Caenorhabditis elegans: one gene and its partners. The protein of the gene in region 1 interacts with the protein of each later gene in a pairwise test. Each region holds a gene or a part of one and is shown on either strand. Other genes may lie near its edges.

Region 1 (7,956 bases):
CTGGGTGAACCTAGGGGGTGAGACCGGATTTGAACTCGTGACCTCCAGATTGCTATCCGCCGGACAGAGCAAAACGCAACTATTTTGCAACTCGACTTATTGGGATTAAACTTACTTGAGTATGCTGAATTGTACGGCGGAAAACTGGAAGTTCCGGAAGCTTTTCACTTGGCAAGACAAATGATCGATTTGCTTCACACAATACATGATAGGGGGATCGTTCACTGTGATATAAAACCAGCAAATTTTGCATTTGGTCTCAATGAAAAAAAGAATCAGCTTAATGTATGTTACTTCTACCTTAAATGTTTTGTGAACTCATGATTATTTGAACAATTTGACACATATAGTCAATATAACTATACCTTTAGCTCATCGACTTTGGATTAGCAGAATCGTTTCTTGATGATAGAGGAAATCACCGAGAGGTACATAATCGCCATTATCGAAAAGGAACTTATGTTTACATGAGTGCCAATCAGCACCATGAACAATGTTTTGGTAAGAGTTTTTTGTTTGCTTTTGTATCAGCACTTCTGATTGAGAATTCAGCTTTTTCAAAAAAAATTCTATTAACAATACCAAGACGAAAGGTTAAACCAAATATTTTTTGTTCGAACTATCTAATTACAGGAAATACCCGAAGAGATGACATGGAGTCCTTGGTTTATTCTTTGAGGAAAATACTTGACCTCACTATGTGCTGGAAAGAAGGACGGAGTGTGAACAATGATGATACTCATAGAAACTATTTCAACTTGAAACAAGGCAATCAAAAAAGTTGTTCACTTTGTGGAATACAGCCGATTAACGATATGCTTCAATCGTGCCGCATGCTCGAATTCAAAGATGAACCCAATTATGAAGCAGTGAAGCAGCTGTTTGTCTTGGATAAAGCTATGTCAAAAGCGTTGAAAAATAAGTTAGTTTAATATGTTTTTAAAGATAAAAAAATCAGATTTCATCAAAAAATTTAAAATTGCATGTAAATAAAATTTTCACTGCCATTTTCAGAAAGCATGTTCCACCAAAAGCTACATTCGACATTTCTTTGGACGAGGATCAACAGGTTTCAATTTGATTTAATTTCGAAAAACAATGATAATTTTATATTTTAGAAGTTGATCGACAAATTCAATATCTACTTCAACGAAGAAGACTATGATGCAATGTGAAACTTCTTTAACCACCTCCTTTGCAGTTTAACAATTGTCAGTTAATCTAGAATAAATTTTTTAAACATGTTTTATAAATGTTACTAATGAAAACAATTATGGGTTTTTAAAGTACATACTTTGTGTAGTCTTGGGTGTCAAAATATTAATCTCCCTACAACTTTCTAAATTTTGCCATAAAAGTTTTTTATGGAGCACATCTGTTGCATTATCTGTTGCTAAATTTACTTATCTTGCACTTTGAGGATTTTTTTAAAATTAATGAGTAATAATGGCAATCACAACTTAAACCAAATGTCAATTGTACTCGAAACGTGTGAACGTGAGTTTTCTTTTTTTGTAGACTTTTCTATTTGTGAAAGGAGGGCGCCCAATTTAATTAGTACCACATTTAGGATGCAAAAATTGTAAATTTAAAGAAGGTTTGTAGAAAAATACGTAAGATTTTTGAATCTTGTCACTCAAATTACACATACAAGTTTATCATCCTCACCACATAGCCCTATTTAAGTTCTGCTAAATTTATTGGGTTGATTCTTCGACAATTGCCCAACATTGTCGATCACCAACAAACAATGCAAATACGCTCCAACTCACACCGATAGGGAGAGGGGTGTGAATGCGCGCGAAACAGCAAGTGAACGGTCTCTCCGTTTACCACACTCTCTTACCTCGTTTTGTCATCTAACGCGCTCTCTCGCCACTCGCCTTGCGCGTCAGCCGGCCAGTTATTCTTTCCTTCTTTTCACATCGTTTTTTTTCATATTTCAAGCTATTTTTTGTCAATTTTCAACTTATTCAGTTTAGAAATGCCTCGCCGAAACTCAACAAAAAGTGCTGCACAACCGTCCGAAGAAACGCCAGCCGGAGAAGAGGTAAAACTGTTTAGGCTTTGAAAATTTCCGCAATTTTTAGTCTGTAGACACCGATAATGACGCCATTGAAAAATTCTCTCTCAATTTAAAGTTGCGAAGCATTATGAGAGAATTGTGAAAACAAAAAAAAACAGATGAAGCTAAAAATGCAACACAAAATAAAATTCAGAAACCTCTGCCGATGTGTCCTGAGGAATCTGCAAAGGACACCACTGTACAATCGTCCAGACCACGGCGAAATATTCGCAAAAACACTCTATACGACAACGAGAACTATGAGCTTGTGAATTCAGCGCCTGCTGCACCTCCCGAACGGACTCCATCAGTTTCAAGAACTCCAAATAGGACCAGTGCTGTTTCAGAGGTATCTACTGGAACCGATAAAAACTCAACTGCTATGATGCCTGATATGCTGAAAGGAGCGAAAAGAAGAAAGATTCCTCCTCATGTTGCTGAAATGATGGAGACACCAGTTGCACATAGGGCGAACTCAAATCAAGTGAGAAACACAGAAAACCTTTGTTCTTAAATAATCCTTTTTTCTTAATTACAGACTCCAAAATTCGATGATCAGTTGATGACTGATGGAGCCAACCTGGAAGTTGCAATGGAATTTGAGGTTCCTCACAATGACGAAGGACCTCCAGTGCTCGGGCCATCTACTGTTTTTGAAACTGAACCTGAAAGTTACAGGGAAAGCGACGAAGACTATAGTGTTAATGACTTTGCTCACCCTCCAGATCTTGAAAGGCACCCGTACGTAAATCCATTATGTAATGACAAAACTTTAATTTTTTTTACAGATTGAGCAAGCGAAGAGGACGTCCACGTCGACCACAAGAGCAGCTGGAGACCAATGTTAAATTGAAACTGACCCGTCCAGCTTCAAAAGCTCAGCGAGCCCCACCAACTGAGCCAGTTGCTGCTAGAACCGCCACTGCTAATCAAAGGCATATTAAGCTATTTGAGGAAGAGTTGGATACAACCCCCGGCGGAGAGTCCTATGCAACCGTGGTGAATGGGTGCCTGACTGAGCTGCTGAGAAAGGAGCGGATTATTGATCTCCTCACAAACCCGGACGAAATTGAGTTGATGTAAGTGAAAAATGACAACTGTTGCAATGCGATATCAATAATCTAAGCACATTATAAATTTTCAGAAAGCAAGCAGGATGGTTTCTTCCAAGACCACCACGTCTTCCTCCACTTGTCACCGACAAAGTATGCTTCGCATTCTACGTGGATGGTAGTCAGCAGAAAAATGCTAAAGATCTCTCCAACGATGACCTCCGTCCGTGGAGTGTGACAAATGATCATCAGAACACGACTGGCGGCCCAAACACAATCAAGCCAAATGTTCGAAGACACCCGGTGGCTCGACTCAATGGCGAGCTGAAGACAGTCAAGCATGAGACACGTCTCGCTGAGTATCACTTAACGGAGTACAGCGCTAGATTACCTCGGGAGCAGAGACTGAGAAAAAAGGTAGCTAAACTGAAGATATTTGAACACAACATTGATTTTCTTTCCAGATTTTCTACCTGACCCGTGACAATCAAATCTTTGGAAATGTGCTTATTCTGTATGATTATGTGAATCCAGGAAATGCCCCAATCCCAGTATGCCTTCCTCATGGCAATGATCATCTGCGAAGAGCAGTCACAGATGATCAAGATGGATTTGACAATGATTTGCCGGTTTGTAATTATATAATTGGTTACCTCATTTATAATTTTATGCTTTCAGTTTGAGCCGCAACGCATAGAAGGAACCCGTGGAGCTGGAGTCTACCTCAGGTTGCGTCCGAACAAATTGGGATGGGCTCAGAACAAGAAAAACTTGCTGGATTATTTATTCAATAAAGTTGACATTCTGGATGAACTTGGCGCTCTAAACAATCGCCTCCCAGATCTTCCGCCACTGATTGAGACGGTCGGAGTCTTTGCATATTTTGTTCCGGCCTGTCATGTTGTCAACCAAATTCACCACGCTGCTGATGGCTTATCTCCATGGACCACTAATCGTGAGTTGCTGTTTGCGAAGCACCAATATGCGGTCGTTTAACCGTTTTAATTTTGATAAATTTCAGCAGGCGCTGGCGAAGGAACACCGACAGTGCGTGTGCGGTCAACAAAGAAGAACTTGATATTGGACGAAGCTCACAATCACTTTATGGTATCAAGAGACCAGAAAACTCCATCCGACTATATTCTCGTAGAGACAATGTCGACACTTGCCAGATGCAAAAGAGTGAGAAAGAGGGTAAGTTAACCAACAGTCCGCAAGTACCACGACGCACATTTGCGTACTTAAGTTTGCGTACTTAAATTTGCGTACTTAAATTTTGCGTCGTAAATCTACACCACACGCTGTGCAATATTTAACAAAATGAAAGGGCATACACCACCTGGGGTTGTTGCTGCTAAATTATCAGACCGTTGACGGAACTGAAATTATAGTGCAGTAGTCATAAATAATGTCATAAAAAATATTGTACATTGCAATTCTTCAATCATTTCAGGTTTTCTATATCCAACAAGCCGGCGCTGTTATTCATGGAAATGTCTGCTACACGTATGAGTTTGTTTACGACGGTCCGTTGCCAACCTTCTACCCACCATTGGACGCGAAGAGTTACAGTAGATGGTCAGGAGGATCACCACTGAAAAAGCCGGTCAATTCAATGGACATGCACTCTCACATGATGGTAGAGCAGGATTCATATGATATGATTCCTGTTGACGATGACGGAATCGTTGATGTCGTTGACGTTCACAAGGAAATGCTCGTTCAGCAGGAGGATGATCAGATGGAGAACCTTCTAACGTATCCCGATACGCTGAACAACGGATTTGATCCAGAATTCAATGATGATCCGATTGATAAAGCCGAGAATCCGAATGCATACTATGATGAGCCCCGTGTTTTGTCAACGGGTCACGTATACTTGACTGTTCGTCATAAAAAGTTGGTTACCGTCATGGATCATGTTCTCGAATGGATTGCAAATTCGAACATTGTGTAAGTTCTTGAAAATGTAATCAGTTTGATTTTCAACTATTTTCAAATATTTCAGTGAGGAGCGTGGTGTCCTGAACGACACGAAACCGTCTCACCCACCATTGGTCACCAACTCTAGGGCCTACGCCTTTTTTGTAGCCGGTACTGCCATATTCCCCCATGACATTAATCGCGACGACTTCTCACCATGGTCTCGCAACGGAACGCCTGATCAGCCGACCTGCTATCGTACAAAAGTTCGAAAGCTTGGAGTGATTTGCGATCCTCAAAATTCAACGTTTTTGGTATGGAATATTTACTGGCACTATTGTTTTAAACGTAAACTGTTTTTAAGCTGAAAGAAAATACCAACTACAAAACTTGTCCATTCCATCTCGTCTACTTGTATTCGATTAATCCAAAGGAGCCTAGACTGCGAAAAAAGGTGTTTTAAACAATGTTATTTGATTTTTATAAACTAATAATTTGGTTTTCAGATCTACTACCTGATGGAAACCCAATCAAAAATGGTTGTCAGTCATGCATTGATTATGTACGACTACAACCATGAAGGCAACATCCCACGTCTCAACGCTGGCCAATACAAGCCACTCACTAAGAGGAGTTACGCTAGAACCGTATGTTTCTAACATCATAAGATTTTGACTTAATAACAATACAATAATTACAGAATCATATGCAGCATGATTTGATGAATGATGTCTCGGAAGGCGAAGAGAGCAGAGATTGCCCATTCATATTGCCTGCAGAGACTGCTGCTGATGGGACGTTTTACCTACAGCTCGATGACTTGGAATTCTGGAATGACCGGAACCGACAGATTCAGTACTTGGTCAATCAATCTGATTTGGTGTAAGTTGATTGAAAGAAAAATAGAAAAGCTAAGCTTAAAAAAAGTAATTTCAGTGAACAACTCGGATGCCTCAACACAAAAGTTCCCGATCTTCCACCATCGATAACTGGAAAAGGAACATTTGTCTTTTTTGTGAACGGAGAAGAAGTCAACTTTAGATCATTGACCACAGATAAACTGACTCCGTGGTCAGAAAACACTTGCTCTAATCCTCGTAAGTCTTATGAATTTTTTACAAAAATTTTCATAGACGTGTTGAGTAACTTCCCGCAAGCTCCATTAGTTTCAGATGGAATAACCAAAAGGCCGAAATCATCAAAAACTCCGCTCGGATTCAATCGTCACAATCAACTGCGAGTCTGCAAGGGGAATGCTCTGGCCGTGGATCCGATTGAATTCCAGTTGCACATTTACACTGCAACATTGCCCCGCTGCACACGGCTTCGCAAAAAAGTTGTCTATGTGCAACGAGACGGAAACCAGTATGGACACGGTTTGATCATGTACAGCTACACTGAGCCCGGAGCTGTGCCACAGCCAATTCAGAAGACTATTCAACCTTCGACTGATGAATGGTTCAGCAGCCTTCCATCAAACATCAGAGAGGATGTGTTCCATTTGCTGAAAACTGCCCCAGTAAATGAAACAGCGAAGATAATTCATCAGGAACATGGAATTCATATTAGTCCAAATATGTTGTTCAGTCTCAAACGGCGAGAACTTTCTGGTTCTCATGCTGACAACGACACTTTTGTCACTGAATGGACCGGAGCTGATGGTGCAGGACCATCGACATCGGCTAAAACTGAGACTGTGGAAGAGGTGGTGATTGAAGAGCAAATTCCAAAAACAATCATGGGTCACGAAATGATGATTGGAGGAGACATGATTGTCGAGCACATTGAAGAAGTTGGAGACGTCTATGGGCAATCAATGATGAGAAGAAATCCATTTTTGGAGAAAAGCGTGGTTAGTGTTTGTATAATTGATTCGTTTTTTAAATTCTCAATTTTCAGACTACTGCTGGATTTGTTCGTGGATCTCAGCGATATGATGCTCTTTGGCGAATTGCGCAAAAACAGTTTGGTTCGGAGTGCATTGATGACACTTTTGACAGCTTGTTCCGACTATTATACGAAAAGAACGAGCAGCGCTTGCTCCAAATGATCAATGAGACATTCCACGTGGACATTTTCTCTGGCGACCAAGAGATTGTGGAGGAAGGTGTCGAATACATGCAAGAAGAACTTGTTGTGCATCCTGGTAATCATCTTGTCGGACACGAGGAACTGGGAAGACACGAGGAACACATTGAACATCCTGAAGTACAAGGCCATTTGGAACATGAAGTTATTGAAGCCCCAGAAGATCCTATGGTTTAAAATTATGATTAACTGGAACAGACATTGTTCGAAAAATCATATAACTGTAAATTAAATTGATCTTATAATATTGTTTTACCCTTTAAAATCCGTGTTATGTCATATCTATCTATTATTCCGTTTTACACCAAATGTTTTTTGCCACTATAGAATGACAAGGTGATCTTTTTTCTGTTCTCAGCAAATTGAAAATCAAACATAATACACTGACACAGATGAAGTTATAATAATGCATAGTAGTTTAAAAAAAGGTATTCGGCTGAATATCTGAATAACAACATTTTAATGTAAGGTGCAAAGCATGGATGTGCGGCAAATTTGCCAAACACGGTAAATTTCAAAAAAGTAGATTTGCCAAATTTTCCAAGCTCCGTAATTTTTTATGTTTGCCCCAGCTGCAAAGGAGCATACAACCCCCATGAAAACCAGTTATTGGTCTGTATTTTCACCCGAAACAGAAACATCTGAAAGGTAAAATTTGGTTAAGCAAATCCCTAATGTTTCAAGTCCGTTACTACAAACAACTCTGTGACCTAGATTCCAGGTTCTGTAAAAAATTTCAAACACGTCACTTTATGTGCAGGGTACTCACCGGTCTTCAATGATAGCCATTTATTTCAAAGAAATTGAAAAAAAGTCAAAAATTAAATC
Region 2 (7,600 bases), on another chromosome or scaffold:
CCCTAAAACTTAAGTTTTTCATAATTTTCCCCGATTTTCTGATAAAACTCCGAATTTTTTCCCTTAAAAAAGTGGATTTTCGTATTTTTAGGCAGTTTTTTTCATAATTTTTTGAAAAAAAGAGGAATTTCTCGTATTTTGGCTAAAAAAATGACGAATTTTTTTTGATTTTCCTGAAATTTCATTGATTTTTTTTGAATTTCTCGTCGGATTTTCCACAGGTTTTTTAAATTTTTTAAAGGATTTTTCAGTTGATTTTCTGAGATTTTTTCACTAAATTGAGAATTTTCGTTCGATTTCCTGGAAATTTTTTTGACATTTTTCAAATTATTTACTGATTTTCTTGCCTCTTATTACGGGTTTTCACCGATTTTTAGCGAAAAAATCTACCGATTTTATCGATTTCGTATCTCTCGGATTTTCTTGAATTTTTGCAGCGATTTTTAGTATTTTCGGTGAAAAAAATGTGGATTTTCTAAATTTTGCGATTTTTTTTTAATTTTCGGATTTTTAGGCTGTTTTTTTTTGTTTTTTTTTTCTAATTAATTTATCCAATTTTCAGCTGGAACTCGATCGTTATGTGCCTCCGCGTGCTCGTACCGATGGCTCTCCTCGCCTGGTACTTTACCAACGAACATCCGAACGCGCTCCGTTGGAAGAATCCGGCAATGCCGAAGCAGTATTCATACGATTTCTACCGTGCCTACCCGTTCGACGATCCACGCAAATACCCAATTGTCAACTATTCGTTTGATTTGGAATAGAAAATTCCTTAGTTTCGGTTGTTTTTTTTTTGGTAGTTTTCTCCGTTTTCTCCTTTTTTGTACTATAAAATATTCGAATTTTATCATTTTTTTTTTTGCCTTTTTTTTGCCCTTTTTTCAGCGTTTTTAACGCTTTTATACCTATTAATTCGTTTTTTTTGTTGCTTAAAATTGCGCCTAATTGAAAAAAAAATTCCTAAATTTTATATGATTTTTTGAAAATTGAAAAAGTCTCAGTTTTCACCCCTAATTCCTATTTGAATTACCGCTAATTGGATTTGTTCGATGGAGCGCGCTTGCACGTTTTTAAGTTTATTTATTTTATTTTTTGTTATTTTCCACCGATTTTCAATTTTTTTTAGTTTTCGGTGTATTTTTACATGAATTTTAGAGAAAAAGTCAAAATAAATGCTAAATTTCGATTAAAAAGCACGCTTACAGGCGTAAAAATGACAAAATTAATTAATTTCACTGATTTCGGTCTGTACGCATGGTTTTTATTCGAAAATTTGCATTTATTTCGACTTTTTCTCTAAAATTCAAGCAAAAATACACCGAAAACATTAAAAATCGGTGGAAAATAACAAAAAATAAATAAATTTAGAAACGTGCAAGCGCGGCGCTCCAACGAACGAGTTCAATTGGCGGAAATTCAAATAGGAATTAGGGGTAAAAACTGAGATTTTTTCAATTTTCAAAAAATCATATAAAATTTAGAAATTTTTTTTTGAATTTGGCGTGTTTTAAAGCAATTTTCCCACTGGCGCTACGCTACTCCACTTTTAATTAATTAATTATTTGGAAAAAAAATTCAGAACTCGGCGCTGGACGCCCCCGCACAAAATGCTCTTCCTCGATGATTTTTTAGAAAGTAAGTGGTTTTTTTTGTTGCAAACTTTTCCCCTATAAAAACACCCAAATTTTCAACGTTTTCCAGTGCTCGATGAGCTGCCTGCCGAGCTGAAGGAGAGAAGCGATGAAATTCGGCGAATCGACAATGAAGTTGAATGTAAAATTTCGAAATTTTTCTGAATTTTTCCCTTCATTTTTTCGAATTTTTAGCCCGTCTAAACCGTAATCGAGAGGCGATCAACGATTTTTTCGAGAGAACCGGCGTAAATATGCCCGAGGAGCAGAGAAAGGAGCGCTGCAAGGTTTTGCAGGAGGTGAATTTCATGAAAATTCCTGGAACTCGAATTTGGCAGCAAATTGACACGAAAACGCAGGAAAAAGTTGATTTTTGCCACAAAAACGGCTAAAATTCGTGAAAAATGAGAAATTTCGCTATAAAACCCGTTTTTCTAGCTTTTTCGTGAAGAAAAATGAGAAAAAATGGGATTTTTTTGTACTTTGCCTGATGTCATTTTTTCACTTTTTAAGCTTTTTTTTCCCACAAAACACCAAAAGTGCTCAAAAATACTCAAAGTGAATGACGTCTAAAAACACTAAAATGAGGTCGAAAAACTCAAAAAGTTGCTCAAGATCCGACCAAGTTGTAACCTTTTCGGAAAAAAACCTAAAATTAGAATTTTGTCGTTTTTGATCGTTTTTTGAAGCTTTTTCTTCACAAAAATAGCTTAAAAACGCAAAAATTAGCCCAAAACGCTTATAAATCTCAAAATGCATCCAATTTTTCAAAATTTTCCGCTAAAAATAAAGGAAATACCGAAATTTTCAAAAAATGAGCATTTTTCCGCGAAAAAATCCCAAAATTCCGCTAATTTTTCAGAATTTCTCGGAAAAAAACGGTCGAAAAAATTCCTTTTTTCACTGAAAATCTTTTTTAAAAAACAGGACAAAAAATCGCAAAATTCAGACAATTTTTCGGAATTTCTTGTTAAAAAGTGAAAAAAAAGCTGAAAATTTAGCTTTTTTCACGAAAAAAAATTGAAAATTCAACTAATTTTTGGGAAAAAACATTTACATTTGCATTTTCTAATTTTTTTTTCGTGGTTTTCTAAAAAAAACTTTCAAAATCTCAAAATACAACCAATTTTGCCGAAATTCTTGGAAAAAAACCCTAAATTTGCATTTTCTATTAATTTTAAAAGCTTTCTCCCCCAAAACTACCTTATAATCCCAAAAAATCAGCCAATTTTTCTAATTTCTCTTTAAAAAAAAAGCTGAAAAATTAGCTTTTAAAAAAAAAAAAAGCTTAAAAATCCCAAAATGCCAATTTTCCAGATTTTCTCGCGTTGAAAGTGAAGGAAATGCCGAAATTATAAAAAAAAATTAGCTGTTTTCACAACAAAAAAAAAGTCGAAACCCCCGAAAAATCATAAAATCAACCAATTTTTCAGAATTTCTCTTTAAAAAGTAAAAAAAAGCTCAAAAATTTGCTTTTTTTTTTCAATAAAAATTTTAGAATTCAACCATTTTTTCAAAATTTCTCGTTAAAACGTTGAATAAGCTCAAAAAAAAGTTTTTATCACAAAAATAGCTGAAAAATGGCAAAATTTCTCTTAAAAAATGAAAAAAAAAGTTCAAAAATTTGCTTTTTCACAAAAAAAAAATTGAAAAAACCCAAAAAATTGCAACCAATTTTCTTCAGGAATTCTCCACAATCCGCGTGCTAGCTCAACGCAAATATCTAATCGCCGAAAAAATGCAAGAACTCCTCAAAAAGTACAAAGTTCACTTGGAAAAGGAGAAAACCACGTTCCAGTGTGAAATGGAGGCCGACAATTCAGGAGTGACCGAAATGATCGAAAAACGATATACCCAACACGTCGAATCTCTGCTCACAGCGAGAAAAGAACGAAAACGTCGTCATCGCGTGGGCGGTGGTGGTGGTGGTGGAGGATCGTCGTCGAGAGCATCGACAGTCGCTTCGGGACCACTTTTATCGAAAGAATCAAAGGACAAAATTCAGCGGATCCTTCAGGAAGGTGTTCGTCTTCGAATGGATCTTTCCGATGAGTCGGCACAATCGGCACTATCATCGGCTATACCATCACCAGCGCCACGTGGGCGCCCGCCAAAGATCGCAAAGGATCAGCTGTTGCTGTCGTCGGCGGCGATGGTGGTGGCCAGTGATGATTGTCTGACGCCAGTGCCACCAACACCGACGGCTAGGGTGAGGAGCTAGCTGAAAATTCGAGAAAATTCGCAAAATTTGGAGCCCACCTACCACGGCCTCCTGTTCAAAGAACTGGCGAAATTTCGAATTTTAGCTAAATTTTGAATTTTCAAATAATATTTTTCAAACATTTTTGAATTTCAGCCTAAAATCCGCAAAATTTGATCGTACAAAAACCTCACAAAATTGATAAAATTTTCCCGTTTTTTGGGTGTTGTTACAAGAAAAATTTGACGAAATTTCGAGTTTTAGCGTAATTCGTCTCTTTTCAACTATTTTTTTAGCCTAACCGCCACATTTTTTAATAAAATTTACGAAAATTGGCCGTTTTTGGGTCATTTTGGACCGTTTTCAGCTAAAAATTAACTTTTTGTTTCGAATTTTCAAAATTAAACGAAATTTGGCTCTTTACTGACTAATTTTTAAGCCAAACCGCCATGATTTTCTGGAAAATCAGCCTATTTACAGGAGGACTAACGGTTTATTGACCCAAATTTTGTGCTCAAATGAACGAATTTCGTAATGAAACTGCTCGAAAATGTATTTATGGCGGTTCAAAATTTCGAAAATGACACTGATTTTAGCTAAAATCTCGAATTTTGGTCATTTTTCCGTGTCACAGCTGTAGGAAGTTGGTTTTTTTTGGAATTATCATCCTTCATTGCATATTTTGGTAGTTTATCTCATTTAATTTCATTGATTATGGTAAATTTAAAGCCAATAGGTAACCAAAAATCATTAAAATTGGTCGCCTATAGGCTTTAAACAGACCTTAATAAACGAAATTAAATGAGATATTAAAACCAATATATGCAATCAAGAATGATATTTCCAAAAAAAGCCAACTTCGGACAGCCGAGACACGGAAAAATGACCAAAATTCGAGATTTTAACTCAAATCAGTGTAAGTTTTCGAAATTTTGAAGCGCCATAAAACATTTTTGAAGAATTTTTGAGCAATTTCAGTATGAAATTCGTTCATTTGAGCACAAAATTTGGGTCTATACGTTCCAAATCGTCCGAACCGTTAAATAGGCTGATTTTTCAGCCTAACCGCCATTATTTTCACGAAAATCAGTCGTTTTTGGAGTGAAAAAACTAAAAATTCTCTAATTTCTCCAAATTTCAGCGCCGCTCAAACACAAATGCTCTCCGCGGCACAGTCTCCATTCCAAGTGCTCTTTCATCAATGATGAATCGTGGTGAATCGACATCCCGCTTCTCACCGAATCCCTCCGAACGTAGTTGGTCAAACGCCGGAATCGACGAATCATCACCGACGCCGACGACAAGCCTACTGATGACACCGACGTTCTCCTCAGGACCGCATATCGTCGTTTCGCCGACGACTCCAGTTCTCCAGAATTCGGCGTTTGTGGTGTCTGAGAGCCGTCATGGTAGAACTCGGAAGCTGACCAGTAGAGTTCAGGAGATGTTTAAGGAGACTCTACAGCGGCAGCGGAATCATGGAAATTCAATTATAGCACTACAGGAGAGAATGAGTGCGGCGAATCTGGCGGCGGCGGCTCAGCACGCTCACGCTCCGACGAGCTCTTCACCACAATCACCACTTCCGGAGATTGAAGGAGCCGCCGAGGATGATGATGAGGAAGGACCGAGTTATCGGATTAAGCGGAGCCATCCGATGATGGCTCCGGGATCGGAGGATGAGGAGGATGAGATGCATTGGTGTTTTTGTAATGAGAAGAGCTATGGAGATATGGTTCAGTGTGATAATCGTCATGTTAGTGTGGGCTTTTTTAATGAAGGGAAAAATTGAATTTTTCTCCGAAAATTGAGCGAAAAATTCAAATTCCCAGCAGAAATAGTGCGAAAAAAAAATTAGATTTTTTTTTGTTGTTTTTTATTACCAAAAATTGATTAAAAAATGTGAATTTTCATCAGAAATAATGCAGAAAATTACTGTTTTTTTTTCTTCGAATAGTGCGAAAAATTGAGTTTCCATCCATTCAAAAAATCAAAAAATTTGGATTTTCACACGAGAAAACAGTGCGAAAAATATATAATTTCTACCTGAAAATTGCAAAATCATGTTGCTATATTTGCGGTGAAAATTCACTTTTTTGGTTAGTCAAAGATTATCAAAGATCTTATTAAAAAAAAAAAAAAAAATTTCCATTCAAAAAATCGAAAATTGAGCGAAAAATTCAAATTTCCAGCACAAAATCAATAATTCGTAATTTTTGATGAAAATTCATATTTTTTCATGGAAAATTGTACAAAAAATTCAAATTTCCACCAAAAATTGAGTTTAAAAAGTGAAATCAGAAATAATGCACCGAAAATTAAATTTTTGTTTCAAAAATAGTACGAAAAAAGTTAATTTTTAACCGAAAATTATTTTTTTTTTAATTTGAATTTCTACCACAACAAAATGCTTAAAAATTGTTAAATAGAGTGTTTCCTTGGAAAAAATCACAAAAATGAAGTTTTCACCAAAAAATTGCGAAAAATATATAATAATTTCTACCAGAAAATGCAAAATTTTGCTTTTTTTTACATTTTTATCGAAAAATTTCACGAACATTCAGAAAAATTGAATTTTCACCAAAAAATTGGAAAAAGTTGCAATTTATATTATTTTTAGGCTAAAATCAACAAAATTTCTGCGTTTTCAACGGTTTTACCAAAAAATGTGTTACAAAAATTCGAAATAGTTGAGCGAAAAAATTAATTTCCACCTAAAAATTGCAAAACTTTGCTATATTTTTGGTGAAAATTCGATTTTTTGTTGGTATTATTATCAAAAAATTTTACAAAAAAAATAGAATTTTCATTTTAAAAAAATCCCGAAAAATTAAAATTTCATCAGAAAAATATTTTTAAAAATTGATTTTCCACAAAAACATGCTCTTGAATTACAAAAGCAACTGAAATAATACGAAAAATTTAGATTTCGAAAATTAAATTGAATTTCCACTGTAAGTATTTCAAAAATTAGAAAAATTAAATGGAAACAAACACAAAAAAACATAAAACACGAAAACATGATTTTTAAAAAATTGTTTAAAATAATTACAATGTGGAAATTTCATTTTTCGCACTGTTTTCGGTGAAAACTCAGTTTTTTTCCACAAATATTACAAATTACATCCATCCATCTGAAATTTACACCAAAAACCTTTAAAACAAAATACAGAAAGTCTGAAAATTTCAACAAAAAATTCTAATATCTAAATTTAAAAAACATTTCTACCAAAAATCTGATAAACTGAATTTTCATCGAGACCATCACCACCAAAAAACTAATTTTTGACCAAATTGAGTGCGAAAAATCGAATTTCCATCAAAAATATTATAAAACATTTTGTTTTCTTCGAAAAGTAATGCAAAAAAGTAAATTTCCGCCACACAAATATATTTAAAAAAAGTTGAATTTTCATCAAAAACTACAAAAAATAGAATTTGCCTGGAAAATTCTAATTTTTTCGAAGAAAACAAAATGTTTTATAATATTCTTGATGGAAATTCGATTTTTCGCACTCAATTTGGTCAAAAATTAGTTTTTTGGTGATGGTCTCGATGAAAATTCAGTTTATAAGATTTTTGGTTGAAATGTAAATTTTTTATAGCACTTTTGTAGCTATATGTTTTTTAAATTTAGATTAGAATTTTTTGTTGAAATTTTGGAAAAAATTATGGGAAAATGGTAGATTTGTTTGTTTGTTTTTTTTTGTTGGAAAATAAAAAAAGTAATAAAAACCACAAAAATATCAGTAAGTTTCAACCTAGATTA
Region 3 (6,680 bases), on another chromosome or scaffold:
GGCGGGAAATTCAAATTTGACAATGAAATTTTCGAAAAATTACGAGAAAAATCGATATTTCGAAGAAATTCAATTTTTTCGGGGGCCCGATTTTTGGAGCCTGAACATTGAAATTTGGAAAGTTGTGCATTACCCCGAGAAAATCAAATTTTGAGCTAGAAGATCGGGAAAAATGGTTTAAGAGGTAAAAAATGCAGGAAAATTCGAATTTCTTGGAAATTTTACTTGAAATTTGATAATTGTGGGCGAAATAGAACGTTTTGAAGCTTTTTGTGTAGTTTTTTTTCGGTTTTCATTCAAAACTGTAAATTTTCGATCAATAATATGAATTCTACGTCTCTTTTCACTCCGGAAACCCAATTTCCAAAGCTCAGCTACCAAATCCTGAGAAGCTGTGCATTTTGTCGTAGGAGCTGCGGCGGTGTTTGCGTACTTTTGGCGCTACCGTACTCAGAGAAAATCAAAAGTTGAGCTAGAGACTCGGCAAAAAATGTGAATAGTGGGAAATTATGCGAGGATTTCGTTTTTGAAGTTGGTTTTCCAAAAAAAAAATTGATTTTTCGGAAAAAAATTTTCCAAAAAAAAAATTTTTTTTTTACAAAATATTGTTTTCCCCGCCGGGGTAACCAGAAATGAAAGCCGTAGAGGGAGAAAAATGAAGAAAGTGACCTTGAAAGTCCCTTTCTGCCATACAAAAAACGCTCCCCTAACCAGCTGCCCCCACACACACAACTTATTCCGAGGCACACGAGAGAGTACACACAATCAAAGAGACGCAGAAATGCGGCAATTTCGAGTGTTGGGGGCGATGAAGACGGCGGAGACCATTCATTTTTGCCATCTGATCACTTTTCCGATTTTTTCTAAATTTTTTTTTTTGACAAAAGTTTTATACAACTCGGTAAATAATTTTTGTACGTAGGCTTACTTTGAGGTCTTATAACTTTGGACTCAAATGAACTGTCAAATTTTAAAGTAAATTGCCTGAAAGATAAAGTTTTAACGCAAATTTTGGTAAAATTTCACCAAAATTCATTTGGTAGTTTTTGAGAAATTTAGGTTTTAATTGAGAAAATAAAAATGTTGAAAATTTTTTTTTTTAATTTTTAAATTTTTTTTTTTTGCATTTTCCAAAAGTTTAAATCAAAAATTTGATATTTTCTGAAAGAAAAATAAAAATATATTTAACGCTAATTCTGACAAAATGTCAAGCAATTTGCACAATTATTCTTTGAGATACTACAGTTTTACCGAAGAAATTTCATTTTTCAGTAAATTTTTCAAAAATTTAAAATTTAAATGGGTTTTCTGAAACTTTAGGGCAATAACACATTTTTTACAATAAAATTTTTTTAAAAAAACAATGAAAAGTACATATTTGTCAAGTTAGAAAATTTGAATTTTCACCAAAATTTTTTTTTAAACTTTTTTGAAATTTTTTTTTAATCCTTGAAAAAAATTTAAAAAGTTCAAAAAAATGTCTTTTCATCAGAAAATTTAATTTTTATTACAATTTGGTTATGTATATACTTTTATTAATATAAATTTATTGATATCCTCAACAGATATATGCTTTCAAAGGTTGAACTGGACATGGTGCATCGATCAAAAACTTGGACAGCTTATATCTCAGTTGTCATTGTTTTTATCAAAAAATCGATAACTAATAAAATGTTCATTATGAACTTCTCTATAACTTTGTAGTTGAGCACTTTTCCATATCTCCAAAATTAACAGAGATACTAGCCGTCAAAGTTAGAGTTAGACATGTTGCATCGACCTTTCCTAACTTTGACAGCCCATAACTCGGTTAATATTGAGCCAAAGGTTGTAAACTGACAAAATGTTCATCATGTTTTTCTCTATAACTTTGTTGTTTAACATTTCTCCCTACCTTTAATATTAACCGAGATATAAGCTTTTAAAATTTAATAGTACATTTTTCAGAATGTCCGACTCCCCGCAGAGCTGCAAAAAGCCGCGAACTCGGAAAGAAACTATTCAAAAGCGAGAAACACGAAGTAAGCATGAAAAACGACGAAGGGAAGAGATGAATGAAGTGATTTGTGAAATGTCGACACTTTTGCCCGAAGATATTCGGGCTCATAAGCTGCGAAGAGTGGATCAGAAGCCTCGTCAGCTGGACAAATGCTTTATCATTGGGAGTACTGTTGATATTATTCGGAATAGTGATTATAGTGAGTCTACAGATTCAAATTAGTAATAATATTCTAATTTGGAATTTTTTTTTAATTTTGAAAAAATTTGGAAAAAAATTTGAAAAAAAATTTCGAAAATTTTTTCTTTTTTTTTTGCAAATTTTTTTCCTAAATTTTCGATTTTCAAAGCTTTTTTCTTTGTTTTTTACTCTAAAACTCGGTAAAACAACTCTATTTCCTCCCGAGAAAAATATAAATTCAACCTATTACAGTAACCCTGATCCGTTTCGTGGCGGGACCCAAAATTTCAAATTACCTTCAAACCAAGGCATGTTGGGTGTCATTTTAAAGCAATCATTGAGCTAAACTCAAATTTGAAAGCCATTAAGCTGAAAATCTCGAAATTTTCGGAATTTTCAGTCAATTTCAATTTCCTCCATTTTCCAGAACCACCGCTGCTCTCCGACCCGCTCGTCCAGGATATTTTCAGCCTGACCAACTGTTTTATGGTTTTTCTGAACAATTTTATTGTCGTGGATATTAAGGGAGACCATCAGGCAGTTTTTGATATTGAAAAAGTTTGTTTTATTGATTTTTTTTCGATTTAAAAAAAAATTCAAAAAGCCATTAAATGGGCAGAGTTACAGGCCTCTGAAAATAATTGTTAGGCTTAGGTGTAGGCTTAGGCGTAGGCTTAGGCTTAGGCTTCAAACATTTTTTTGGGATTAGGCTTAGGCTCAGGCTTAGGCTTAGGCTTAGGCTTAAGCGTAGGCTTAGGCTTAGGTTTAGGATTAGGCCTAGGCTTAGGCTTGGGCTTAGGCATAGGCTTATTAGAAAAAATGGGAAAAAAAATTCTCAAAACATTTTTTTTGGAATTTAATTTTGTAAAATTTTCCAAATTTTGTCCCAGACGGGCGTGACAATCAAATGCACACTTTTTTAGTTGACAACTTTTTGCTAACCCTTAAATGGTAGCAACCTTTAAGCTTCAGTAACTCCGCCCATTTATTGGCTATCAAAAAATTTTCAACCGACAAAAGCTTCACCATGAAAAAAAATCTGCAAATTTTTTCAGTTGACAATTTTTTTCTAGCTTTTCTAGATTTGAAGATATTTGAGTTTATTTTTTTGAAAAAAAAAAATCCCAAAATTTTTTTTGTGGGATTTCATCTTTTTATAATTTTTAATTTTCCAAATTTTTTCCCATACAGGCGTCCCCAATTAAATGTTCCTTGTAAACAAAATGTCGTCATATTTTCGGGGAAATATTATCAAGGTCACTTTTTCCCAAAAAAAATTCGATTTTTTCGGACTGTGTGTCAGCTGACTTGTTTCAAGGTGAACTGGTGGTGGACCGGGGGTGGGGGGGGGGGGATTTGGTGAATCATTGGGATTTTTTCGGTTGGAAAATGTTTTATAACATTTTAGATAGTATAAAAATTTAGAAAGTTTTCGAAAAAAGTTTCAAAAAAAATTTTTTTTTTTGGACTTTTTCTGAAAAATTTTTTTTTTTTTGTTAAACTAAATTTTTTTAAAGTTAGAAATTCTAGAAATAAGTTGTAAACTAACAATTTTTGTCAAAATTTTTGCAAAAGATTTGAATTTTTCGCTAGTTGATAACTTTTTAGTAACCATTAAATGGGCGTAGCTGCTGCCTTCCGTAACTCCGCCCATTTCATGGTTATCAAAAAGTTTTCAACTAACAAAATGTTCATTTTGAAATTCTACACACTTTTTTAGTTAACAACTTTTTAATAGCTGTTTTAGTTTTTGAGATATTTAAAAAAGAAAAAAAAATTTTTTAATGAAATTTTTTTTTTCAGAAACGTATGATTGGAAAAGATATCCGATGTTTTCTGGACTACGATTCAACGTCCAAACTGTCATTTCTCACTTCCAAAGAAATGCTCAATGAGCTCCAACTCAAAAGCTTCATGGCGAAGTCAATGACGTGCAGAATAAAGGAATCGGCGGAGGTTTGGGATTAAAATGTTTTTTTCAATTCGAACAATTCGAAAAATTTAGCTTTAAAACTAATTTATTTGAATTTGGCGTGTAAATAGCTTTTGAATGACACCCATCATGCCTAGGTTCCCGCAATTTTGGGGGAATTTTCCGGGTCCCGCCACGAAAACTGGCAGGGTTACTGTAGTTTTGAATGAAACTAACTTTTTCAATTTTTTTCAAAAAAGTGTGATCACTGAGCTAACTTTGAAGAAAAAAATTAAGAAAAAATAGTGAAAACTAAGAAAGTTACAGATTTTCGAAAATTTGTGAAAAAAAATTTTTTTAAACAAAATTTTTTACCAAAAAAAACTTATTTTGTCAATTTTTTTTTAGCTGAGAATCACAATTTTACTCTCAGCAACCCAGAAAACCTGCAAAACCTGGTAAAACCAGTAAAAACAACCAAACTACAGTAACCCAGAAAGTTTTCGCGGCGGGACCCGAAATTTTAATCATTCACGGAATATAGGCATGATGGGCCTTATTTTGAAGCTCTGGACGTGCTTAATTTGAAAATGTACGAGTTTTGGCTCAAAATCGTGATTTTAACCAAAAAAATTAGTTGTTAAAAAATTGAAAAAATTTTTTTTTCCAAAATTTCAAAAATTCCTAGAAATTTTTAAAAATCAAAATTTTTCCAGAAACCCACGGAAACAGTTTTAGTCTGTGTGCCTGATGAGCTTCCAGCTCTCCCGGTTACTGTACCCAAGGCTCCGCCCATTTTAGCTTCGCCCCTTCAGAAGACACCGCCCCCGCCGTCGAGTTTGGAGGTGAAAAGCCCGATTTTGGCGGCACTTTTGAGGCGAAAAGAGGATAATTGTGTGAAAGTGGTAAGTTATTAATAAGAATTAATAGTTTGGCGGGAAATTTCAAACTTTTTGAGAAAAAAAAAATTGAAATTTTTTTTTTCGGAACTTTTTTTTCTAAAAAATTATTTAACACTATTTGTTGAATTCCAGAGCTCCCCAAGCTCCTTCCTCTCGCCGGGCTCCTCCACCTCGTCTACAGTACCCAATGTGAAACCTACAGTAACCCGCCGACCTACAGTACCCACAAAACGGAAGAGACTACGATCGATGAATGTTATAGTGGAAAGTTATCCGTTGGATGATGAGAAGTCGGATGGAAATTCACAAAAATCGGCGAAAATTGGGAAAAAGAGGTTTTTTCTAACAAAAAAAAACGTTAAAACCTACAGTAATCTACTCCAAAATCCATGCGAGACCCTTAAAACTGAAAATTTCAAATTTAGCTCAACAAGACCTTTCAAATGACCCCCATCATGCCCGGGTTCAAATTTTCACAAATTTATTCAAAAGTTGGGTCCCGTCACGTGGGGTACTGTAGCACTGGTTTCAGCTGTGTCAGTGACATAATTTCGGAGTTTTTCCGAAGCTCTAAGCGTGCGAAAGTTAAAAATGTTAATAAAATTCTTAACATGTAAGATTTTATTGATTTTTTCAAAAAAAAAAAATTTTCTAATTTTTCTGAAAAAACTTGCAAAACTATGTAAATTTTCAGCCAAACTAGCACTATTCCAACTCCGAGAAGCACTTTGAGCCCAACTACAGTAATCCATCCGTCCACGTCACTAATTCAACCGATTCCGACACTTGGAATGAACCCATTTGACATGTTATCACCTGGTTATCAAGATGTATGTGAAAATTATCGATTTTTAATGGTAAAATCAATAAATCATCGCTAAAAACTAGTTTTTATCAATAGAGCGCACTTGCAACACGGTTTTAATTCAAATTATCGACTTTTCAACTACAGCTACTATCAATTTTCCAGATTTGGCTCCGACTACAAAGTGAGCGACTTCTGCTGGAAAAACGAATTTCAGCGAAAGAAGGGGAGCTGAAAAACCTGATGCAATTCGTTCAAAACCCCCCGTTTTTGAATTTCCCCCAATATATGCTCCCGCAAGGGCCACTTGGTGCTCAAAATCAATAGTTATGGGTTTAAATGAATAAAATAAATATTTATTTACAAAATTTGATTATTATCGACGGGAATTTGTTTAAAATACTGCAAAATATACTGGGAAATTTCCGGAAAAATCATTTCGAAGTTAATTATCATTTGAAAAACCGCCGAAAACTGTGAATGCGCAAGGAGAGGTTGCTGGCGCATTTCTCTTGTTGCTTGCGCACTCTGCGATGAAATTAATTTATTTTATTTTTTCATCATTTTCGTTGGGTTTTCATCATTTTTCAGCGATTTTTTTGCAATTTTTTTCAAAATTCCCATCAAATCTATAGTTTTTCTCACAGGAAATGGACTCGGCCGACCCTCAACTCAATCGATTCCTCCAGCAACTGCAGGCGGAGACGCAGCGTCAAAAATTCACCGAACAAGTGCACACGCTCACCGGTCGCTGCTGGGATGTGTGCTTCGCCGACTACCGTCCGCCAAGCAAGATGGACGGCAAGACTCAGACCTGTATTCAGGTAAAAATTTGGGAAAATTTGGCAATTTTCTGCAATTTTATGGGAAAATTGAAGAAAA
Region 4 (4,818 bases), 3.3 Mb from region 1:
TTCTCATCCATCCAAAGTGAGGGAGAAAAAGAGAGAAAAAGAGTGAAAGAGTGCTTTTCTGTGCACACATATCACTTGGTCTGTTAGTGTCATGGGACCCCGGGGCATTTCCTCCTGTTTATCGTTTTCTCTGGGTTCAAACGAGAAAGGATCTTTCGGAATTGTCAAGGCTCAAGCATCTCTTCTGAGCCAATGAGTGTTTTTTCTCTTTATCACAAATGTCTTTTACTTTTTACACGCTTTTTACAAGATTTGAATGATTTGTTTCCGAAGAGATAGAGAAAATAAAGATATTAATCATGAAAACTTGTTAATAGAGTACCGTAATTGGTGAGGTTTAGCTTATTTGAGTGCAGAAAAATTTAAATCTTGAAGTTTTCTTGGCGAAAAATTAAAAAAAAAACAGCAGAACTGTGAAATAAATATTTGCAGCTACCAGATACATCTATTTTAGTCATTTGAATTATTGAGAAAAACAGACTACATAAATGAACTACAGTATACAACTTGAATTAAAAAAGGAGTTTTTGACTGAAAAATAACCATTTTCTAGCTTTAATAGACATAGTTTTTGGCTTTGATTTTTTGTTAACGAAAGCAACTAGAAAACATTCAAATTTCAAATGTATTTAGTCATTTTCTGCATATCAAAACTATTTTTTTAAACCTGATGCTCCAAGTGTTTAGTTAAATTTATATGTAATAAATAATTTTGTTTTCCATTAATATCAGTTTTGATAAAACTAAAGTAATACAGTAGTTATCCACCACAATTTGGTGCCCTGATTGTCCTCTTAATATTTTAATTGTACGAAATTTTGCCATCAACCAACCACACTCACTTTTTTTGGTAACTTTTCTTCCCATTTCTCTACTTCTCTTGCATTTTGTTATTTCACAATAGTCCACTCTATCTTCTTTTTCCAATGTCCCTCTCAAATCATTCGCGCCCTGTTTAGCACCCATAGAGTCATTGATCACTTGGCCAACAGCCGGTCTCCCGGTAATGATAACGGGAAAAGTCAATGAACATTGAGTGAGAAAAAGAAAGAAAGAGAGAGAAAAGGACAGAGAGCAGCAAATGTGTATGTCACACACTCTTTTAGTCTCATAGAATACTAATCGATCACAATCACAAGTTACAAAGAAGTGTTGAACATTTTCAAGAGCTGCAAATCTGTGATAAGGTGACGAAGAATTGAGGTGACGTACTCTTTTCCCGTTTTTTTAAATTGTGATAGTGTGAGTGAAAAGATTGCGCGAGTAATGGGTAACCGTTTCGAAGACTGAACTGCATTCATGAGAGCCTCCAATCTGTTGCAGGAGTCAAAGTGAGGCAATTTGCGTCTTGATTTGATATGAATAGAAAAAGAATGAACGACAATATATTGTCTTCTGTTTTGATTAATGATTTATTTCAAGACATTGTATACAGTCTTAAAAACATTTGGCAACGGTTTTAGTAATTGTTATTTTTATTCCCCTTCATTCATTGTAATGAAACATATTAGAGAAATCAGTATGAATCAAATCAGAACGACGTTTGAATTGATAGGAATGAAGAAAAAACGTGACCACTCTTCCCCGAATCATTAAAAGTGAACCTTGTACCCAGTTTGCTGTAGACAAGTAACTTTCATGCTAATTATGGTCTCATGTGAACGTCACATGGTTCCAATCACTTTCTCATTATTTTTTGTAATACGTCTTCATCTCTCATTTTCCCCCTTATCTCACTTTGTTTTACGATGAACTTAACTTACATGAATCAAACTTAAAAAGTGGTTTTAGAATTGGCGAATGAGCCATCAGGCAATTGGAATCTCGAACAACTTTCAGCAGGTACAACGTGAGCAGCTAAATCATCAACGATTATTACAAGCACAGCTCCAGACTAATGGACCTGGAAGTGTTTCTCAGCAGCAGCAGGCTTCGCAGCAACAACAGCAAGTGCAGCACGTCCAGCAGCAACAACAGTCGCAGCAGCAACAGCAACAAGTTGCTTCACAACAAAACCAGCCGCAATTGCAAATGAATGCTCAGATACTGCAAGCTTTGTCAACACCACAAGGACAAAATTTAGTTAACATGCTTTTGATGCAACAGGCACTTAATGCGCAACAGACTGATACTCAGAATCCACAACAAATTATGCAACATCAATTAGCTCAACAGCAGGCACAACAAGCTCAGCAAGCTCAACAAGCGCAACAAGCTCGACAACAGGCAGAACAACAAGCTCAAGCCCAAGCTCGTCATCAAGCTGAGCAGCAGGCTCAGCAACAGGCACAGCAACAGGCGCAGGCACGGCAACAAGAACAACAAGCTCAATTAGCAGCTATTCAACAGCAAGTCACGCCACAGGTTTGTGTTTAGTACAAAATTGATAATTCGAAACTTTGATTTTTATTTTAAGCAATTTGCTCAAATATTGCACATGCAACAGCAGCTTCAACAACAGCAGTTTCAACAACAACAGCTCCAGCAGCAACAACTTCAGCAGCAGCAACTGCAACAGCAACAACTTCAACAACAACAGCTCCAGCAGCAACAGTTACAACAGGTTCTACAGGTGAGTTGACACAGAAATAGCATGTTGATAACTTGAAATTGGCGTTATTTTATTTTTTTTTTCTTCAGATCTCACAAGCCCAACAACAAGCTCAACAAGCTCAGCATGTCCAGTCTAGACAAATGCAGCCGTCCCAACAGAGCCAGGTACAGGCGCAACTCCAGCAGCAACAGCAATTGCAGCAGCAACAAGCTCAGCAGCTTTCACAGCAGCAGGCGCAGCAGCAACAACAATTACAACAGTTACAACTGCAGCAATTTCTTCAACAACAGCAACAGCTTCATCAGCAACGTGCGGCTGCCCAACAAGCTCAGGCTCAGAACAATGCTTCACAACAACGCCCGTCGGTTGCATCGACGCCTGCATTGTCTTCAACTCCACAGTTGAATGATCTTACACAGACAATGCAAGCCCAGCTTCAACAGCAACTGCTTCTCCAACAGCAACAGGCTCAGGCTCAACAAGCTCAACAAGCTCAGCAAGCACAACTAGCTCAACAGGCTCAACAGCAACAGCAAGGGCAGTCTCAAAATAGAACAGTTTCTCAAGCACTGCAATATATTCAGTCTATGCAACTGCAGCAAAGAGCCGATGGAACCCCAAACGGTACGTTTAAATTTTGTATTTTTCTCTGTTTTCATTTTCTCACGTTCACACGCTTCACAACTCTGTGTCTGTTTCCCTTCTCTGTTTTCCCAGTTTCTCCCTTCCCGTTTTCCATCGTTTCCCTTTTTTGCCAGTCCACATACGTTCAACCACACAACCACACCACAACTCTTTGAAAATTATCCGATATACGTATATGACATCAAAAATATCATAGAACATTTTGTTTCCATTTGTTTTTTTTTGAAATATGCATGCAAATAGATAGTGTGTAAACCAACAATAATTAGAAAGTGATAAAGAATGAGATTTTTGTAACCATTACTTCAGCTTTTCTCCTGAATCATCTTCTTCTCTTTTTCTGTGCACCACCTTCTAACCATTGGTTGTTCAAACACGCTTACCCAATATTTTTCCCCTTCAGCAGAGTCACAAGAAGAGAGGTTGGCTCAAATGCTGAACGAACAACAGCAGCGGATGCTGCAAAATCAGGCGCGCGAGGCACAACATCGTCAGTTGCTCATTTCTTCGACGCCTGCTCCTCGAGGTGGTATCACCATGGGAACTCCAATTGGTATTGCAAGGAGAGAAGAGCAGCCGGTACCGTCTACGGTGGCGGTAACGACGGCACCGGCTGCAGTCCGCACGCCTGTTGCTGTGCCACCTATGAAACAAAATTCTAACCCTTCCATGAATCCATCATCCACATCTACGTCTGCATCTGCCACAAGCAGTCATCAGATTTTAGCCCCCTCGCTCTCCAAACCACTTGAGCAGCCTTCCTCGTCGAAGGCCGCATCGTCTGGCAACGAGTCGATGTCGGACCACATCAGCCGAATCATCTCTGAGAACGAAGTCATTCTTCAAGGAGACCCGGTGAGTGCCGAATTCTTCTAGCGTGATGGGTTTTCTTTTTTTGAATAATTCGCCCCCTGGAGTTTGATGAAATGATACGGAAACAATACCAGACCAAAATAAAACAAAACCTTTCATGTTTTTATTCATAATTTCAAATCTCATTTGTCCTTCTGTTTGACGTCTTCGAATCTGTCCATTTACAGGTGATTCGCAAAAAGCGGCCATACCATCGGCAAATAGGTGCGCAATCCTCGGTCGATCACGACAGTAATAGTGGTGGTGAGTTGTGGTGTGGTTGAGTTTCTTGAAAGCATCGCTCCATTACCCTTGTCCTTCTATCCCAAGACAAGATATTGTCTCCTTCTATTACTCGCCCCAACGTTTCCGCTATACCGTCTCGATTTGCATGCCAGTGCGTGTCTGCACGTGTCCATATCTGCATATTATATATTGATGAATATTGTGATTGTCCCGTTTGTCCCTTAATGTTTTATATTTTTCAGGATCAACAAGAACTTCGCCTGGGCCAAAAGACAGTCGTATGTTGCAAGCTGCTAGTCGGAGCCAGAGTTTATTCGAGCTTAGTGGATCAAAACATTTCATGGGCAGCTTGACTAGTGGTCAGCCATTGCTTCGTCCGATTCAGGCACATAATGATCCTAACTACACACCGGAGTGTATATACTGCAAACTCACGTTTCCCAATGAAGCTGGTCTCCAAGCTCACGAAGTTGTTTGCGGAAAGAAAAAAGAGCTAGAAAAAGCACAAATAGCACAAGAAG

What was found.
Region 2: the proteins of F16B12.6 (region 1) and ing-3 interact in a two-hybrid assay, tested with the Caenorhabditis elegans proteins (one large-scale study listed by BioGRID).
Region 3: the proteins of F16B12.6 (region 1) and hlh-33 interact in a two-hybrid assay, tested with the Caenorhabditis elegans proteins (one large-scale study listed by BioGRID).
Region 4: the proteins of F16B12.6 (region 1) and sma-9 interact in a two-hybrid assay, tested with the Caenorhabditis elegans proteins (one large-scale study listed by BioGRID).

Annotation. Positions count from the first base shown.
Region 1 is NC_003284.9:14,100,375-14,108,330, forward strand, and holds F16B12.6 (DUF7747 domain-containing protein), read left to right. Parts: upstream 1-1,941; 5' UTR 1,942-1,984; coding exon 1,985-2,050; intron 2,051-2,219; coding exon 2,220-2,549; intron 2,550-2,603; coding exon 2,604-2,806; intron 2,807-2,853; coding exon 2,854-3,144; intron 3,145-3,209; coding exon 3,210-3,534; intron 3,535-3,581; coding exon 3,582-3,746; intron 3,747-3,795; coding exon 3,796-4,072; intron 4,073-4,138; coding exon 4,139-4,311; intron 4,312-4,570; coding exon 4,571-5,070; intron 5,071-5,125; coding exon 5,126-5,354; intron 5,355-5,404; coding exon 5,405-5,494; intron 5,495-5,546; coding exon 5,547-5,687; intron 5,688-5,740; coding exon 5,741-5,922; intron 5,923-5,976; coding exon 5,977-6,137; intron 6,138-6,212; coding exon 6,213-6,892; intron 6,893-6,939; coding exon 6,940-7,305; 3' UTR 7,306-7,539; downstream 7,540-7,956.
Region 2 is NC_003280.10:13,874,455-13,882,054, forward strand, and holds the start of ing-3 (Inhibitor of growth protein), read left to right. Parts: upstream 1-1,579; 5' UTR 1,580-1,607; coding exon 1,608-1,635; intron 1,636-1,701; coding exon 1,702-1,773; intron 1,774-1,826; coding exon 1,827-1,930; intron 1,931-3,315; coding exon 3,316-3,840; intron 3,841-4,972; coding exon 4,973-5,587; intron 5,588-7,600. Other genes in the region: ndub-8 (NADH dehydrogenase [ubiquinone] 1 beta subcomplex subunit 8, mitochondrial), read left to right, coding at 563-764.
Region 3 is NC_003281.10:1,853,445-1,860,124, forward strand, and holds hlh-33 (BHLH domain-containing protein), read left to right. Parts: upstream 1-1,947; 5' UTR 1,948-1,948; coding exon 1,949-2,198; intron 2,199-2,606; coding exon 2,607-2,737; intron 2,738-3,982; coding exon 3,983-4,135; intron 4,136-4,807; coding exon 4,808-4,996; intron 4,997-5,125; coding exon 5,126-5,328; intron 5,329-5,687; coding exon 5,688-5,823; intron 5,824-5,963; coding exon 5,964-6,125; 3' UTR 6,126-6,159; downstream 6,160-6,680. Other genes in the region: ddp-1 (Mitochondrial import inner membrane translocase subunit Tim8), read left to right, coding at 6,449-6,622.
Region 4 is NC_003284.9:10,771,291-10,776,108, forward strand, and holds the start of sma-9 (Transcription factor sma-9), read left to right. Parts: upstream 1-1,800; coding exon 1,801-2,364; intron 2,365-2,416; coding exon 2,417-2,572; intron 2,573-2,640; coding exon 2,641-3,178; intron 3,179-3,602; coding exon 3,603-4,054; intron 4,055-4,239; coding exon 4,240-4,315; intron 4,316-4,539; coding exon 4,540-4,818. UniProt on the Caenorhabditis elegans protein: Transcription factor, probably acting as a transcriptional activator and repressor, involved in the TGF-beta-like dbl-1 signaling pathway.